4 linked regions of the Macaca fascicularis genome follow. The protein of the gene in region 1 purifies or fractionates together with the protein of each later gene. This does not show direct contact. Links are inferred from orthologs where the notes say so. Each region holds a gene or a part of one and is shown on either strand. Other genes may lie near its edges. The genes, in order: SETDB1, CHAF1A, SUV39H1 and ATF7IP.

The links.
Region 2: the proteins of SETDB1 (region 1) and CHAF1A purify together in Homo sapiens (affinity purification with western blotting; 3 studies listed by BioGRID and IntAct, with this or other methods). This does not show direct contact. The link is inferred for Macaca fascicularis from reciprocal best matches to the Homo sapiens genes SETDB1 and CHAF1A.
Region 3: the proteins of SETDB1 (region 1) and SUV39H1 purify together in Homo sapiens (affinity purification with mass spectrometry; 3 studies listed by BioGRID and IntAct, counting the BioPlex papers as one, with this or other methods). This does not show direct contact. The link is inferred for Macaca fascicularis from reciprocal best matches to the Homo sapiens genes SETDB1 and SUV39H1.
Region 4: the proteins of SETDB1 (region 1) and ATF7IP purify together in Homo sapiens (affinity purification with mass spectrometry; 6 studies listed by BioGRID and IntAct, counting the BioPlex papers as one, with this or other methods). This does not show direct contact. The link is inferred for Macaca fascicularis from reciprocal best matches to the Homo sapiens genes SETDB1 and ATF7IP.

What each region holds. Positions count from the first base shown.
Region 1 is NC_088375.1:110,314,577-110,318,796, reverse strand, and holds the start of SETDB1 (histone-lysine N-methyltransferase SETDB1), read left to right. Parts: upstream 1-1,416; 5' UTR 1,417-1,472; intron 1,473-1,495; exon of another isoform or gene 1,496-1,641; intron 1,642-1,761; exon of another isoform or gene 1,762-2,125; intron 2,126-2,830; 5' UTR 2,831-2,841; coding exon 2,842-3,101; intron 3,102-4,220. UniProt on the Homo sapiens protein: Histone methyltransferase that specifically trimethylates 'Lys-9' of histone H3. H3 'Lys-9' trimethylation represents a specific tag for epigenetic transcriptional repression by recruiting HP1 (CBX1, CBX3 and/or CBX5) proteins to methylated histones.
Region 2 is NC_088393.1:5,181,225-5,185,521, reverse strand, and holds the end of CHAF1A (chromatin assembly factor 1 subunit A), read right to left. Parts: intron 1,673-4,297; coding exon 1,576-1,672; intron 1,044-1,575; coding exon 943-1,043; 3' UTR 560-942; downstream 1-559. UniProt on the Homo sapiens protein: Acts as a component of the histone chaperone complex chromatin assembly factor 1 (CAF-1), which assembles histone octamers onto DNA during replication and repair.
Region 3 is NC_088395.1:48,855,529-48,859,090, reverse strand, and holds part of SUV39H1 (histone-lysine N-methyltransferase SUV39H1), read right to left. Parts: exon of another isoform or gene 3,298-3,562; coding exon 3,152-3,297; exon of another isoform or gene 2,123-3,151; coding exon 1,460-2,122; intron 1-1,459. UniProt on the Homo sapiens protein: Histone methyltransferase that specifically trimethylates 'Lys-9' of histone H3 using monomethylated H3 'Lys-9' as substrate. Also weakly methylates histone H1 (in vitro).
Region 4 is NC_088385.1:17,282,655-17,286,216, reverse strand, and holds part of ATF7IP (activating transcription factor 7-interacting protein 1), read right to left. Parts: intron 2,271-3,562; coding exon 2,158-2,270; intron 838-2,157; coding exon 418-837; 3' UTR 1-417. UniProt on the Homo sapiens protein: Recruiter that couples transcriptional factors to general transcription apparatus and thereby modulates transcription regulation and chromatin formation. Can both act as an activator or a repressor depending on the context.

The sequences.
Region 1 (4,220 bases):
AGGTGAAGTGAGCACAGGTGAAAATGTGATCAACAGGAGAGAATTTCAAGGACTTGGGAGTTCTAGCTGCTTGGGCTCTGTTTCCAGCCTCACACACAAGGTTCTGGTTTGTACTTTTTAAATGAAAAATGTGTGTGTGTGTGTGTGTGTGTGTGTGTGTGTGTGTGTGTGTGTGTGTGTGTGTGTGTGTGTGTTTGAGACGGACTCTCAAAACGGAGTCTTGCTCGGTCACTCAGGCTGGAGTGCAGTGGCGCGATCTCCTTTCACTGAAGCCTCTGCCAGCAGGGCTCAGCGATCCTCCCGCCTCAGCTCCGTAGTTGCTGGGACCACAGGCGCGAACTACCACGCCTGACTTTTTTTATCTCGTATTTTTAGTTGAGATGGCGTTTCACCGTATTGCCCAGGCCGGTTTGGAACTCCTGGGCTCTAGCAATCCTCCCGCCTCGGCCTCTCAAAATGTTGGGATTACAGGCGTGAGCTACAGCGCCCGGCTTGGGGAATCTTTTCTACAGAAATAAAAGTACTACTTCAAAAGGATGTTTATTTTTATTGTTGCGCTATTTGTCGGGGCTGAGAACGGAAAACAATCTAAACAAATATGGTTTAACCTTATTATTCAGGTGTCAAAAATACAAGTTATTGTTGTTGTTTTTTGTTTGTTTGTTTTTGAGATGGAGTCTCGTTCTATGGCCCAGGCTGGAGTGCAGTGGCGCGATCCCCGCTCACCGAAAGCTCTGCCTCCCGGGTTCATGCCATTCTCCTGCCTCAGCCTCCCGAGTACCTGGGACTACAGGCGCCCACCACCCGGCTAATTTTGTGTGTGTGTGTATTTTTAGTAGAGACGGGGTTTCAACGTGTTAGCCAGGATGGTCTTGATCTCCTGACCTCGTGATCCGCCGCCTTGGCCTCCCAAAGTGCTGGGATGACAGGTGTGAGCCACCGCGCCCGGCCAAAAATACAAATTTTACCTTTTTTATTGGCTTCAGGTAATGTCCACATGTTAAATGAAAACAAAAATCTATATACAGGAACGTGTGCACACAAGACTAGAAAATTAAGCTGTATTACCTGAAAGGAGCGGGGTGGTAAGTGATGGGGCAAGAGAGAATTTTATCACGTTTTTCTTATTACATTTTGATAGCCTTTACAATTTGTATCACTTATGTAACAAAACAAACTCAAGTAAAACTGAAAGAATAAAGCTCTGAACCTATGAGTGCTTCCCTCAGTCTTTACACTATGAATGTAGTAATGTGGCCACTAGTCGAGGGTGGTAGGACAGGCGGAGACTCGGTAATATACTCCTGGCCACGCCCACTCTGCCCTGCCAGTCGCTTCTCACGTGTGTCCCTGGAAGGCTCTGCCTTAACGCATGCGTAGTTACCTTAGTTTCGTCGCCTCTGAGGGGCGCCCCGCGACTTTGGATTTGACCCCATCAGGCTACCGTCGCGGTGACCGGAACGGCACTAAAGGTTTGCTTCCGGGCGTTTCTTTTGCTTCCCCTTCCCTCCTTCATGCTTTCTCCCCTCCCCCTCCTCCCTTATCCCTTCGCTTTCGCTCTTTTCCGTCGAGGCTGACCCATGAGTTGTGAGTCTGGGGTCTGGTTGGTGAAAAAGAGCCCTTAAAGCTGGAAGACGGGAGGTGTGGGGAATACTGTTAATTGAGTTATTTGGTGACCAAAGGCTTATCTGGGATGTTTTGTTTGTGGGAGGGGGTCGGGCGAGGGTGGGAAGGAAGTCTTCCCCAGAGGCGAACGGGGGCGGGGCTGAACTGGGTTTGCGAATGGGTAGGACGCACCCCTAGAATAGGTAGCACGGGAGTGGGCTGGTGTGTGGGCAAAGGAAAATGGAGGCGTTGAAAATCAGGTTTGCTTTAACCGTTTGATTGAAAAAGCAGTTCACACGAATGTGTGAAGTATTTTGGTTGTGGATGTTAGGTAGCCACGTTTTATTCCCAGCTTGCTTTACTTCTCTGTACTTTGGGGGAAACCTTTTTGCTGCGAGCTTTGAATATCATAGACTTTTTAAAAAGTAAATTTCCACATGGAAGCAAAGTAATGTAAGGGGAAGAAGTGATGAAAGAGAAAACACTGAATTAGTGAGTTACAAGTCAACTCCATCCCCAGGTAGAAGTTTTGTTCAAATTAGGCATAGCATACAAAGATTTATCACATAATCTTTAAGTTAAGGAACACGTATAGACCACAAAAATATCTTCTCCTGGATTAGTTCTCTTCGGTATCCCAAAGCATTATTTTTAAAGTTCGGTTTGTTTTGAGACAGGGTCTCGCTTTGTCACCCAAGCTGGAATGCATAGGGCAAACATAGCTCACTACAGCAGCCTCTCCTGGGCTCAAGCGATCCTCCCACCTCAGCCTCCTGAGTAGCTGGGACTAAAGGCATGCACCACCACACCTGGCTAATTTTTGTATTTTTTTTGTAAAGACGAGTCTTGCCATGTTGCCCAGGCTGGTCTTGAACTCCTGCCCTCAAGCGACCTTCCTGTCTTGGCCTCTAAAAGTGCTGAGATTACAGATGTAAGCCACTGTGGTAGCCCAAAACATTATTTTCAGTAGCTCCCTACTGCTTAATGAATGTTCTCCATGCCCTCTCAAACTTTTAAAGCTTTTTCAGGCCTGTTAGTGTGTAGTAGAAGATAAGAACTCTTAAAAATCTCAGCATCAGATTCTGGAGAATGGGGAAGAAGAACATGGACTATTTGAATAGAATAACAGGCAGCAGAACAGGAATTAGTTTTATTAGGGAACTGAAATTCTCTATTGATTATAGTTATAAGGACTCCCGTTTAATTTGTTTTCTGTTCCATGCAGAGGACAAAAGCATGTCTTCCCTTCCTGGGTGCATTGGTTTGGATGCAGCAACAGCTACAGTGGAGTCTGAAGAGATAGCAGAGCTGCAACAGGCAGTGGTTGAGGAACTGGGTATCTCTATGGAGGAACTTCGGCATTTCATCGATGAGGAACTGGAGAAGATGGATTGTGTACAGCAGCGCAAGAAGCAGCTAGCAGAGTTAGAGACATGGGTAATACAGAAAGAATCTGAGGTGGCTCACGTTGACCAGCTATTTGATGATGCATCCAGGTGAGAACTCCATGGAAAATAGAGGGAAATCTCTCCATTGGGAGATATTTTTAGAGAATAATTGTTCATGACCTTGTACCAAGCATTTTATTTTATTTTTTGAGACGGAGTCTCGCTCTGTCACCCAGGCTGGAGTGCAGTGGAGTGGTCCCAGCTCACTACAACCTCAACCTCTCAGGTTCAAGTGATTCTCCCGCCTCACCCTCCCAAGTAGCTGGGATTACAGGCATCCGCTACCACGCCCAGCTAATTTTTTATATTTTTAGTAGAGACAGGGTTTCACCATGTTGGCCGGGCTGTGTACCAAGAATTTTATACTTTATGAAGTACACATATTTAGAACCTTACTCTTCCTCGAAGTTTATGGTAAAAAATCTGACCTTACAGTCAGCCATAAATATAATTTTCATCTGTCAGCAGCTAACATAAGGGAGTCCAAGTCTTTTTTTTTTTTTTTTTTTTTTTTTTGAGACGGAGTCTCGCTCTGTCGCCCAGGCTGGAGTGCAGTGGCCGGATCTCAGCTCACTGCAAGCTCCGCCTCCCGCGTTCACGCCATTCTCCTGCCTCAGCCTCCTGAGTAGCTGGGACTACAGGCGCCGCCACCACGCCCGGCTAGTTTTTTGTATTTTTTAGCAGAGACGGGGTTTCACCGTGTTAACCAAGATGGTCTCGATCTCCTGACCTCGTGATTCGCCCGCCTCGGCCTCCCAAAGTGCTGGGATTACAGGCTTGAGCCACCGCGCCCGGCCTGGGAGTCCAAGTCTTAAGTCCTTTCCCCTTCTTCCTCCTGTGCTCTGTCTTAGAACAATTGCTTCATTTCCCTAGTAAGATCATCCAGGGAGTGAGGATTGTACAGAATTTCTGTCTTACGTAACTCCGAAGCATTAATCAGTTCCTATACCCCCCAAAAGATTTGTTTCTAGTGCTCCAGTTGTCACTTAGAATACATTTTTAAAAATTTATTATTATACTTTAAGTTCTAGGGTACATGTGCACAGCCTGCAGGTTTGTTACATATGTATACATGTGCCATGTTGGTGTGCTGCACCCATTAACTCATCATTGACATTAGGTATATCTCCTAATGCTATCCCTTCCCCCTCCCCCAACCGCACAACA
Region 2 (4,297 bases), on another chromosome or scaffold:
GTCCCTGACTGGGTGGATGGAGGTAGCTGACACTTTTCCCACATGGGGTTCCCTGAAGGGAAGCTTAGATTTCAGGTGGGGTGTGTCCAGGAGCAGGGCTGGCGAGTGTGACCCTCCCCGTGGCTGCGTGTGCTCTGAACTGCTCAGCACCACAGAGTCCTCCCTCGGGGACAGTGGGGATAAAGCCCACTCAACGTGGGGCAGGGAGGAGGTCACCTCCTAGCTCCAGCACTCACAAAAGATGCACCCGACCTAGGGGTGGGCTCTCACGAAGTCTCAGACTCCAAGCCAAACTCAGCTCCCAGCAGCTCTGGTTTGAGGAAGGAGACCCCAGCAGGTCCCCGGGAACACCCCCTCCTAACCCCCCAACCCAGGGCAGGAGGGATCGCTGGACAGAAGCACATGCGGAAAACCTGCACCTTGACCCAGGTCAGCCTGGTATGAGGATGACTTAGTGTCAAACAGATGGGACAGCGCTGTTGCAGGGCACAAGGCTGGCCCCAGACACGACGCACTCGGAGAGAAACACGATGTTGTCAGAAAAGACAGAGCAGCTCAGTGCTAGAGAATAAGTTTATACACTGCCTCTTTACACACTGCCTCGTTTATACACGGGGCCCGTGCACATGGCCAGGTGGGTGGTCCTGGCTCTTCAATTCATTTACAAGTACTGGATTCCACGCCTGCTCCTGTGCCCGCAGGCTTCCTCGATAGGCCAGCAATCTCAATAATGCTTTATTAAAGGGCAGATTCATACGCAGCTCTTGGGGGAATTTTTACAAATATCAAAGGAACTAATCCAGCATCCTATATAGAACTCTGCACACCTTGGGGAGGTCCGTGAAGCAGGACAAAGTGCTCTTTACACAGGAATCGAGTCGGTTCAAGTATCTGCTCCGTGGGGAGGACACCCTAAGCGTTCTACGTACGTCACCACTGCTCTCACGACGCGCCCAGTGGGCTCGCAGGCAGGGCGGCCTTGCTGGTGTCCACCCCCACACCACCCCCAGCTCCGGAAGTGGCTCCACACGGGGCTTGGACCTCTGCAGGGCAAGAAAGGGAAGGTCTTGAGCTGGCTGTGCCTGCTGGGCTCCCTGGGGGAGGACCTGTTGCCTCATGGGGCCTGCAACGGCCCCAGGGCGGAACCCTTCACCTGACAGTGGGGGCAGGCGGAAGCTGGGGCATTGTGCCCCTTCTAGAGGTGACCTGCTCACCTGCTCTCAGGCTGACCCTGCCCCCCACCACCTAGGCACACTCCTCCCGCACAGCCTGCTGCAAGGCCTCTGCACTTCCTCTTTGGGGAGTCCTCCAGAAATCCACCTGGCCCTCCCTTGCCGCCTCAGTGCAGTCTTCCCTGACCCCCATCTAACGTCCCGCCACCTGAGACTCCCAGCACAGGCCCTTGTGGCTCTGCCCAAGTGGCAGAGGACATGGCAGGGTAGGAGCCACTTCCAGCTGCAAACCCTCCTGGCAGCTCACAATGGAGCGAGTCTTAGGCGGCGCCATCCCTTCCCTGTTGAGGTTTACCTCCCCCACCCCTCACCAGTGCGTTCTGCTATCTAGAGCCCTTCTCACCCGCAGCGTCCGGGACATCCACGATCATACACTCGCCCTCCTCCTCTTCCTCCTCCTCTGTGTCTGCCTGGAAGCCGTCCATGTCCTCAGCACCAACCTGGAAAGACAAGGTGCATGGCCATCAGCATTACAGGTGGCAGCCACACTGGTGCTGGCGGGGGTGGGGGGCCTCTGCGGGTGTGACCCCTCCCTCCCACCCCCAACACTGAAGGGAACCCAACATCCAGAACCCAATTTGGTAACAAACTGTCCAAATGTGAGGTTTATTCGAGAGGCCACAACCAGAGAACCTTGGGGGTTCCCTCAAATGAACTGGATTCATATCTCCACAAATGGCCATCATTGCCGTCTACAGAATAATCTCGTCGGTGACAGGCCACATACCTGATAGTGGTCCCATCAGATTACAACTGTATTTATTTTTATTTTTGATTTTTGAGATAGAGTCTCACTCTTGTCACCCAGGCTGGAGTACAGTGGCACAATCTCAGCTCACTGTGACCTCCACCTCCTGGGTTCAAGTGATTCTCATTCTTCAGCCTCCTGAGTAGCTGGGATTACAGGTGTACGCCACCACGCCAGGCTAATTTTTGTATTTTTAGTAGAGACGGGGTTTCACCATGTTGGTCAGGCTGGTCTCAAATTCCTGACCTTATGATCTGCCCGCCCCGGCCTCCCAAAGTGCTGGGATTACAGACAACTGTATATTTACTTATTTGGTATGTATATATTTTGAGACAGAGTCTTGCCCTATCGTCCAGGCTGGACTGCAGTGGTGCTATCTTGGCTCACTGCAACCTCCGACTCCCAGGTTCAAGCAATTCTCCTGCCTCAGCCTCCCGAGTAGCTGGGATTACAGGTGCCCGCCACCATGGACAGCTAATTTTTTGTATTTTTAGTCGAGACGGGGTTTCACCATGTCGGCCAGGCTGGTCTCGAACTCCTGACCTTGGGATTCGCCCATGTCGGCCTCTCAAAGTGCTAGGATTACAGGCGTGAGCCACCGTGCCTGGCCTTTGCTGTGCCTTTTCTATGTTAGAGACACAAATACCACTGGGTTGCAAGTGCCTACAGGGTTGAGCAGTCAGTCAGTCACCTGCTGCACAGGTCCACAGCCCAGGAGCCCTGGGCTATGTACCACATGGCCCAGGCGTGTGGCAGGCTGTCCATCTAGGGTATGTAAAAGCAACCTAGCCCATCAGCACAACCATGAAATTGCTTGAGGACACCTCTCAAAACACATCCCTGACGTGAAGCGATGACTGTGACTTGTGATTACTTTTTTTTAGATGGACTCTTCACTCTGTTGCCTGGGCTGGAGTGCAGTGGTGCGATCTTGGCTCGCTGCAAGCTCCACCTCCCGGGTTCACGCCATTCTCCTGCCTCAGCCTCCCGAGTAGCAGGGACTACAAGCGCCCACCATCACGCCCGGCTATTTTGTACTTTTTAGGAGAGACGGGGTTTCACCATGTTAACCAGGATGGTCTCGATCTCCTGACCTCGTGATCCACCTGCCTTGGCCTCCCAAAGTGCTGGTATTACAAGCGTGAGCCACCGCGCCCGGCCTTTTTTTTTTTTTTGAAGTGGAGTCTCGCTGTCGCCCAGGCTGGAGTGCGGTGGCCAGATCTTGGCTCACTGCAAGCTCCGCCTCCCAGGTTCACGCCATTCTCCTGCCTCAGCCTCCTGAGTAGCTGGGACTACAGGCACCCGCCACCACGCTTGGCTAATTTTTTTGTATTTTTATTAGAGACAGGGTTTCACCATGTTAGTCAGGATGGTCTCGATCTCCTGACCTTGTGATCCGCCTGCCTCGGCCACCCAAAGTGCTGGGATTACAGGCGTGAGTCACTGCGCCTGGCCTTTTTTTTTTTTTTTAAGTAGAGACAAGGGGGTGTCACTATGTTGCCCAGGCTGGTCTCGACCTCCTGGGCTCAAGCCATCCTCCCACCTCAGCCTCCCAAAGTGCTGGGATGACAGGTGAGCCACCGCACCTGGCCCTAGTGAAATTCCTGAGCCGTTTCCATTTGCTTTCCCCAAAGGAGAAAGACAGGATGCATGGAGGCCACCACGAGCCTCTGCATCAGTGCTGACCCTCCGTGCATGAACACAAGCCCCTCCTAGGACACAGAGCCACACTTATTTCAGCAGGGAGGCTCGTCCTCAAAACACTCCAGGAAGTCTTCCTCTACAAAAACCTCCATTCGCCTAGAAAAGTGACCGCACAGCAACACAACGGCCAGGCAGTAGGCTGGTTTCGTGGGCTGTCACGTAAGAGCACAGCGCCTGGCCAGGCATACTGGGTTCCTATCGTAGCCCCATCAATGCCTGGGTAGGGGCTCCCCTCCTGGATCCTCTTCAGTGGCTGGGAGCCCAGGCTGTCCCTCTCCCCAGGCAGCATGGGTTGACCCTGTGAGGACATAGGAGAAACAGTCCTGCTTTGTCACCCAGGCTGGGGTGCAGTGGTGCAATCATAGGTAACTACACCTTCGAACTCCTGGCCTCAAGTGATCCTCCTGCCACAGCCTCCCAAAGTGCTGGGATTACAGGCATGAGCCACGGAGCCTGGCCTATGGCCATTTTCAACTACCTTTTTGAAAGAAGAGTTAAGCAAAGAAGAGTCTAAGAGTCCCCTGTAGACTCTGCTGAGGGACATTCTGATTTGGAGGTGTCTGGGGACATTAAACAACAGGAACACGCCAATTTCTTCAGAGCCACCTCAAGT
Region 3 (3,562 bases), on another chromosome or scaffold:
GACTCCCTCCTGCTCCCACTGTCAGGAGCCCTCAGGGTGTGGACACCTCCCCACTCCTCCTTCTAGATGGCCAGGTCCTGTGGCATGTGGACATCTCCTCCAGCAGGCCAGCAGGGTTATCTGGACAGGGTGTGGCTGTCTCCTTGCCCAGACTGTCAGGGTCCTCTGTGGTATAGATTGTTCTGCCCAAGATTGTCTCTGTCCCTGTGGGGTGTGACCCTCTCTACTTTACAGTTTCTCAGAGCAGGAGCCTCTCCTTGTCATCAGTATCAGTGCTACAGTGTGGACACCCTCATGTGAGTGTTCCTCAGGCCAGTTTCTGTCACTTTCCAACCATATCACACCCCTAAGGGACCTATGGAAATATATACAGGTATCTGGGGTTGTCACTATGACAGGGCACACTCATGGATTTAAATGGTAAAGGTCCAGGAATGCTAAATGTCCCCCAATGCATGAGACAGTTCTCCATAACAAAAATTCATCTCATCCCAAATGCTAACTGCATCCCATCTTAGAATGTGACATTTTTCTGTTGTAGATACTTGTTATCTACTTGCTAGTTATGGCTGTGCTTTAGCCTTGTGCAGCTGGGCACATGGCTAAAGCACATCCCGTTGCCTCCCTTGCACGGAGGTAAGGCCAGTGACTCAGTTCCAGCCAGTGGAGCATGAGCAGAAGTGATGGGTGCTGCATCTAGGCCTGGCCCACTAGGATGGGCCCCTTCTATCCCCGACTTGGCCCGCCTGCTAGGCAATGCTGATGATCTAGTGGTGACTCCAAGGCTTCAAGACACAGCAAAGGCACAGGAGGGAAAGAGCCTCGGTATCCCAGTCGCTGTGTGAAAGGATACCCACCCAAACCCCCACAGTGGACTGTTCCATAAGCAAGCAAACTTGTAATGTGCAAAGTCACTAAGATGAGGGAGTTGTTTTTACAATGGCTGGCTTGCCTAGTACACTCAGCTTTCCCCAGTGTCCTGAAAGTCTAAAGGAGTTAGCCAACCTTTGTCCAAAGCATGTCTCATCCTACTCCAGACTGCGTTCCTTCTGTGCAGACTGGTAAAACAATGCTTCTCAGGCAGATACTGCTTGGTGATAAGATGGGCCCTTGTGAAATGAGAAGAGGAAGTGCCTTTCCAGCTGATGCAGCCCTATGCCAGACCACATGGCCTGATACAAGGAATGCTAAGGCTGCCTGGATCTCAGCTCCCACTTTTCTTCTTCGCTAAGTACCCTGATAAAGTCAACCCAGTGCAGAAGTATTTCGGTGTTTCTGTAACCACCAGCATGGAATACTTGTCCCTGCCCGATGTCCCTATGACACTCTTAGATCAGTGTACCAGGCCTTTCCCACAGGGAAAGCAGGGAGTTGCAGACACACAGTGAGGAGAGCTGGGTGCACACTGTGAACACAGGGTGGGAAGAGCTGCACACACACACTGGTCCCATCTCCCTACCTCTCCCACGTACTCCATGACGAAGCTGTTCTTGCGAATCTTCTCCAGGGTGCGGACGCCCCAGCCACGCCCATCATCCGTGCGGAAGATGCAGAGGTCATATCGGATGCCTTTCTGTACCACGCGATTCGGGCAGTCATAGCCACAGCGGCAGCGGGAGTTGCACTCGTAGATGGGCAGCCCGGCTCGAAGCCGCACCTGGCCCTGGTCATTGTAGGCAAACTTGTGCAGTGATGCCCCCGGGCAGCAGCCTCCAGTGGGTGCCCACAGACAGTCCTGGCACTCGCAGCCCACAGCCACCTGGTTGAGGGTGATGCCCTCACCAACACGGTACTCATTGATGTACACGAAGGCCCGCGGGGGGCCGTCCAGGTCCACCTCATTCTCTACAGTGATGCGTCCCAGATGGCTGCGCTTGGCATTGAGCTCCTGCTCCCAGCGACGGAGCGCCCGCCTCTGCTTGGCCTTCTGCACCAGGTAGTTGGCCAAGCTTGGGTCCAGGTGCCGGGGGGTCTTTGACCGGTGGTGCCGCCGGAGCAGCTCCCTCTCTAAGTCCTTGTGGAACTGCTTGAGAATACGCACACACTTGAGATTCTGCCGTGGCTCCCAGGTGCTCTCTGAGTCTGGATATCCGCGCCATTTCACCAGGTAATATTCCTGTTCCTGTTGGGGGTGGGTAGGGGAACGGTGGTACCATAAGTGGTGAGATCTTTGGGCCAGCCTTCATGGGGCTTCCATGCCAAAGCTGATGGATAACACCTAACCCACCCCACCCCTTTTCTGGAATGACTTCATGCGGTGGTTAAAAAGCATGGGCTCTAGCGTGAGGATTACCAGGTTCAAATCCTGCTCTCCCCCTTACTGTCTGTCCAGACTGTTCCAACTTTTAATTAATCTCCCAAACCCACTCCCCTCCTTGGTCTTCCCCATCATCAGCTCCCTCCTTCTAGCTGTTCAGACCGGAACTCCTGGAGTCATCCTTGAATCCTCTTTTGTTCACACTTCCGACATCCACCCTCCGCACATCCCGTTAGCCCCACCTTCAAAATACATCCAGTGACAAACCATCATCACTGCCACCACTATGGCTCACCTGGACCCTGACAAGTCCTTGCCTGTTTTAGGCAGCTTACATGTATTATTAACTAACTTAATCCTCACAACCCGACATGAGGTGGATGCTCCTAGTCATCCCCCTTTTATGACAAAGGAAATGAAGTACTGAGGGTTTGGGTAGGTAAACACACCAGGACTGGAACCCAAGCATGCTGACTCCAGTTTGTTCTCCTAACCATCCTGCCACTCCCCCTTCTGGCAATAACTGTCCCCATTTCACAGTTGTTAGGGGATTAAATGAGTTTCCTAGAGGAAGCACCTGGCACACTGAAAGTGCTCAATAGCCGTTAGCTGTTGACATTTCCACTCTAGGGTTCAGCATCTCAACCTTTGCAGTTACTTTGTATTCCTAGGGAGATGGGAAGAGAATTCATTCCGGCTCCTGCCCCCATCAGAAAGCTACTTAGTTTCCCTATCTGTAACATAGGGATAAAAGGGTCTGTTCATCCTATTTTTCCAGGGTCAGAGGAGAAAATTCCCTTTGCAAACAGATGTGGGCAGTTGGGGACAAGAGGGCAGGACACTTAACTTCCTTGTGACCTGTCCCCTCCCAGAGCATGGTCACCCCAGACTCACGCGGATCTTCTTGTAATCGCACAGGTACTCGACTTCAAAGTCATAGAGGTTCCTCTTAGAGATACCGAGGGCAGGGCAGGAGAGCTTGGCCAGGCGGCACAGGTCCTGCAGCTGATTCCAAGAAGACTTGCAACACACGCTGCAGCCTGGATCAAGCAGGGCAGAAAGAACTATTACTGGGCAGTCTGACAAGGCCAGGTGTCAAAGGGGACCCCAAATCCTCCCTGGGACATCCCAAAGACTGCCTAAGAGTCAGGGAACTTTAATCCACAGGCCTTCCCCAATGCTGAGACTGTTCTACAACAGAAATGTGCTTTGAACCCCAATGCTCACTGCCCAAGGCTGCCCCTGGAGCAGCAGACCTCTGAGGGGGGTTTGCAACATGAATCGTCCTAAAGGAATCTATTTCCA
Region 4 (3,562 bases), on another chromosome or scaffold:
ATGATCCTACAGATCCTTTAAAAGCAGAGTCATGCCAGTTACACATCTCAGATCCTTTGATCTACTACTTCGTACTTTAAGAGGTAAATTTGAGAATAAAAATGGGAGACTCCAATGCAGTAACACATACATAGGGAAAAACACACATAAACACCCACACATATTCCCCAGCCTCAAAACTAAAGCAAGGTACACATTTACATTTCCAAACCCCAAAGCCTAAACTGTCCAGGAAAAGATTCTAGCTTTGTGGGCTGAGTTTATTTTGCTTCTGTTTATAAACAAATGTAGTGTATACACACATCTGTCCAAGAAATCTTGCACAAGGTGGATTTTACATGGGGTATCATGCACAAGATTAAAAACAAGACCAAAAGGTGGAAATTTTAAAAGAGGAAAATATAAAGGCTCCAAGGTTTAACTGCTCTGGGTGGAAGAGATCACATCTGTTGACTGAGGATCACAGAAAGGCCCAAAACGTCCATAAATATCCTTGGCTCGTACTGCAAAGTAGTATTTGCTACCAGATACAAACTGGGTGAGAGTACATGCCATGGGCAAGGGAAGTGCCTTGACTTCCCCTATCTTTTTCCATTGTGAGGGCACGGTGGCACTAGGTTCCTCATGGTAAGCATAGAGATGGTAGCTATCAACAGTGGCACAGCTTCGATCCACCTCCAGGACACTCCATGACAGTACTATGCCATTTTGACTCTGAACTCGTGCTAACTTCAAGTGTGGCTTCTGAGGCAGAGATGTGCTGGCAGCTTCTGGGGGCACACGCTGTGGTTGTGGAGCTTCTGGTAAGGGTGCTGGGTGCACAGGGCGTGGCGGCTCCTAAAAAAACAAGTCACACTGATTTATAATGATCGCAAAAAGAACATTTTAGAATGTTAGGATTAAAACACCTTAGAGAACATACATAGAGATACCATTTTACATCAAGAATTCTAGGAAATACCAAACACCATATCAAATTTGGCAAGTTCTATTTGGGGTTTTGTAATGAATGATGCCACAAACAATGATGCTGAGGTTATTCCTGCTCTATTTCCTAGACCTAAAATATTTTGAGTTTTTCTTAGGAAATAAAAAGCCCCTGCTGATGGAACATCATTTTGAGGAACACGGAAATAATGATCTACTTCTAACAAAATAATTTATGATTGAATTATCTATGTTACAGATTATCACTTCAGTATAACATTTTAAAATATCATGTATGGCAATCAAGATCATATAAAATTGGAGAATACAACTATACTTTCATTTTTAAGTTATTTTGCAATATAAGACAACAGCATATTCTTATAAATAAGCGTATTAACACTGAATGTGTACTATATTCTTGGCCAATTTACAAAAAAAAGGTGATATTTAAACTGAACTGTGAAAGATAGGATCTAGAGATGCAGAAATAATCATGTACCTTTTAGCCAAAAATAAAGCATGAGCAAAGGCATGTGGACAGGAAAGTGAGGGGACGTATGGACAACAAGTATTAACTTTTTCTTGGATATAGGGTACATGAAGAAAAATCTGGAAAGGTAGGTTAAGGCCAGATGATGAAAAAAACGTGACTCTAACTTTAGGAGTCCTATTGACTTTTCTAACACTGGAACATCATCGTCATTATGATGATATTTCATACCAGTCAAACACTGACAAAATTGTGTCACAGGATAATGTGACATTGTTTTGGAGGCTAAATCTAAGGAGAAATCTTTGGTTATCTCTGCTGCCTCTTAACTAATGAATTCCCAATATCATTGGATTCTTTAAAACAATTGATGACAATGTAGCAGTTAGACGTGGCATAGTTTAAAACAAAAGAATAAAATTAACACATGGAAAAACGTCCTTTTTAATTTAACTATGAATTAGAAATGGTCTGTATTTCACTTCATATACCCCAACTGTGGACCTGTTTTTGTATACTGTACACCACAAGCAAACTCAATGATTCTAAATGATCATCATCCCTATGAACATTTGTTCATAATGGTTTAAGATCAATTTTTAGAAATAAACTTCTGAAAAAGCAGAAAGACCTAACAATTCCCTTGGATATAACCACTTTAAAGAAAAATGCCAACTACAATAATATTTTATACCTTTACAGTTGAGAATTTTACAAAACCAAGCATCAACACTTACAGTATGCACTTGTGGTGGTCGGTGATGCACTGTGAGCTGAGGTCCTGTGGATCCCAGGGTTAGTCCATTGTTTACAACATACGTGGTTGTTTGAGGCACTCGAACTGTAACACCTACAAAAAAAAAAAAAAAAAATTACAAGATAAAATAATTCTATTGTAAATTTGGTGGAAAACATTAAATATTTGAAGTCAGTGAAGCAATGTTTTCAAGATTTGAAAGGAAAGATATTTCTAACTTAGAGGTCCTATTCGTATTCAGCCAAGCTATCAACCAGCCTGTGGATAAAAAAACTTTCTTATGTGCAAGCACTAAAAAAAAATTCTAACTACCACAAACCTTCTCTCAATAGTCACTGGAGAATATGTGCCACTAATATGTGAGAAAATAAAGAGAAAAATATGAGACACAAGCAACAGGAGGTCCAGCACAGGGAGAAATAAAAGGATCCTTACCAGGAGAACTATGAACAAAAATCCTAGAACACTGGTTGTGTACCGCATGTAAAAGGTAAATGGCCATAATGGAGCAGTGTGACTCAAAAGATAGACAAATTGGGAGTATCTTCATAAAAAGCTCTGCAGTCTCATCTTTTCAACCAGGACAGAAAGCCAGAATAAGTCATCCTTGCCATGTACTAATGAAGTTCCTCTCATTTTCTCCATGCCTAGCTCCTTGGTTCAGGATACTCATTTCACCCCACAGAAAACTGCTGTGACATACACCAAGGAAACAAAAATAGAAAATTCAGAGCTACCTACTGCCCTGACCATACTCCTGCCATTTATTCAGTACCTGGCCCATGCCATAGTTTGGCCTGGTGCCTGGACGATAGTGAGCCAAGTTTCCCAGAACTCATTTCCAAACTTGTTGACTAATTTTCCCAGATAATGCTCTTGTAAACTTGAGAGAGTTGAAGCCAAACTATGATCCAGAGACTCCAATCAGTTTATTTTCTAATGACAGCATTACTGTTTCTTTAAACAGCTATATTTTTCCTTGCTATCACATTTTGCAAAACTACTACATATGTGTGATGGTTAAAACTGAGTGTCAACTTGATTGAAGGACACAAAGTGTTAACCCTGGGTGGGTCTGTGAGGATGTTGCCAAAAGATACTAACATTAGAGTCTGTGAACTGGGGAAGGCAGATCCACCCTTCATTTGGTGGGCGCAATCTAATCAGCTGCCAGAAAATATAAAGCAGGCAGAAAAACGTGAAAAGGAGAGACTGGCTGAGCCTTAGCCTCCCAGTCTACATCTTTTTCCTGTGCTGGATGCTTCCTGCCCTGGAACACTGGCCTCCAAGTTCTTCAGTTTTGGGACTTGGACTGGCTTTCCTTGCTCCTCAGCTTGCAGACAACCTATTGTGGGATCTTGCTTTTTCTTTTTTTTTTTTTTTTT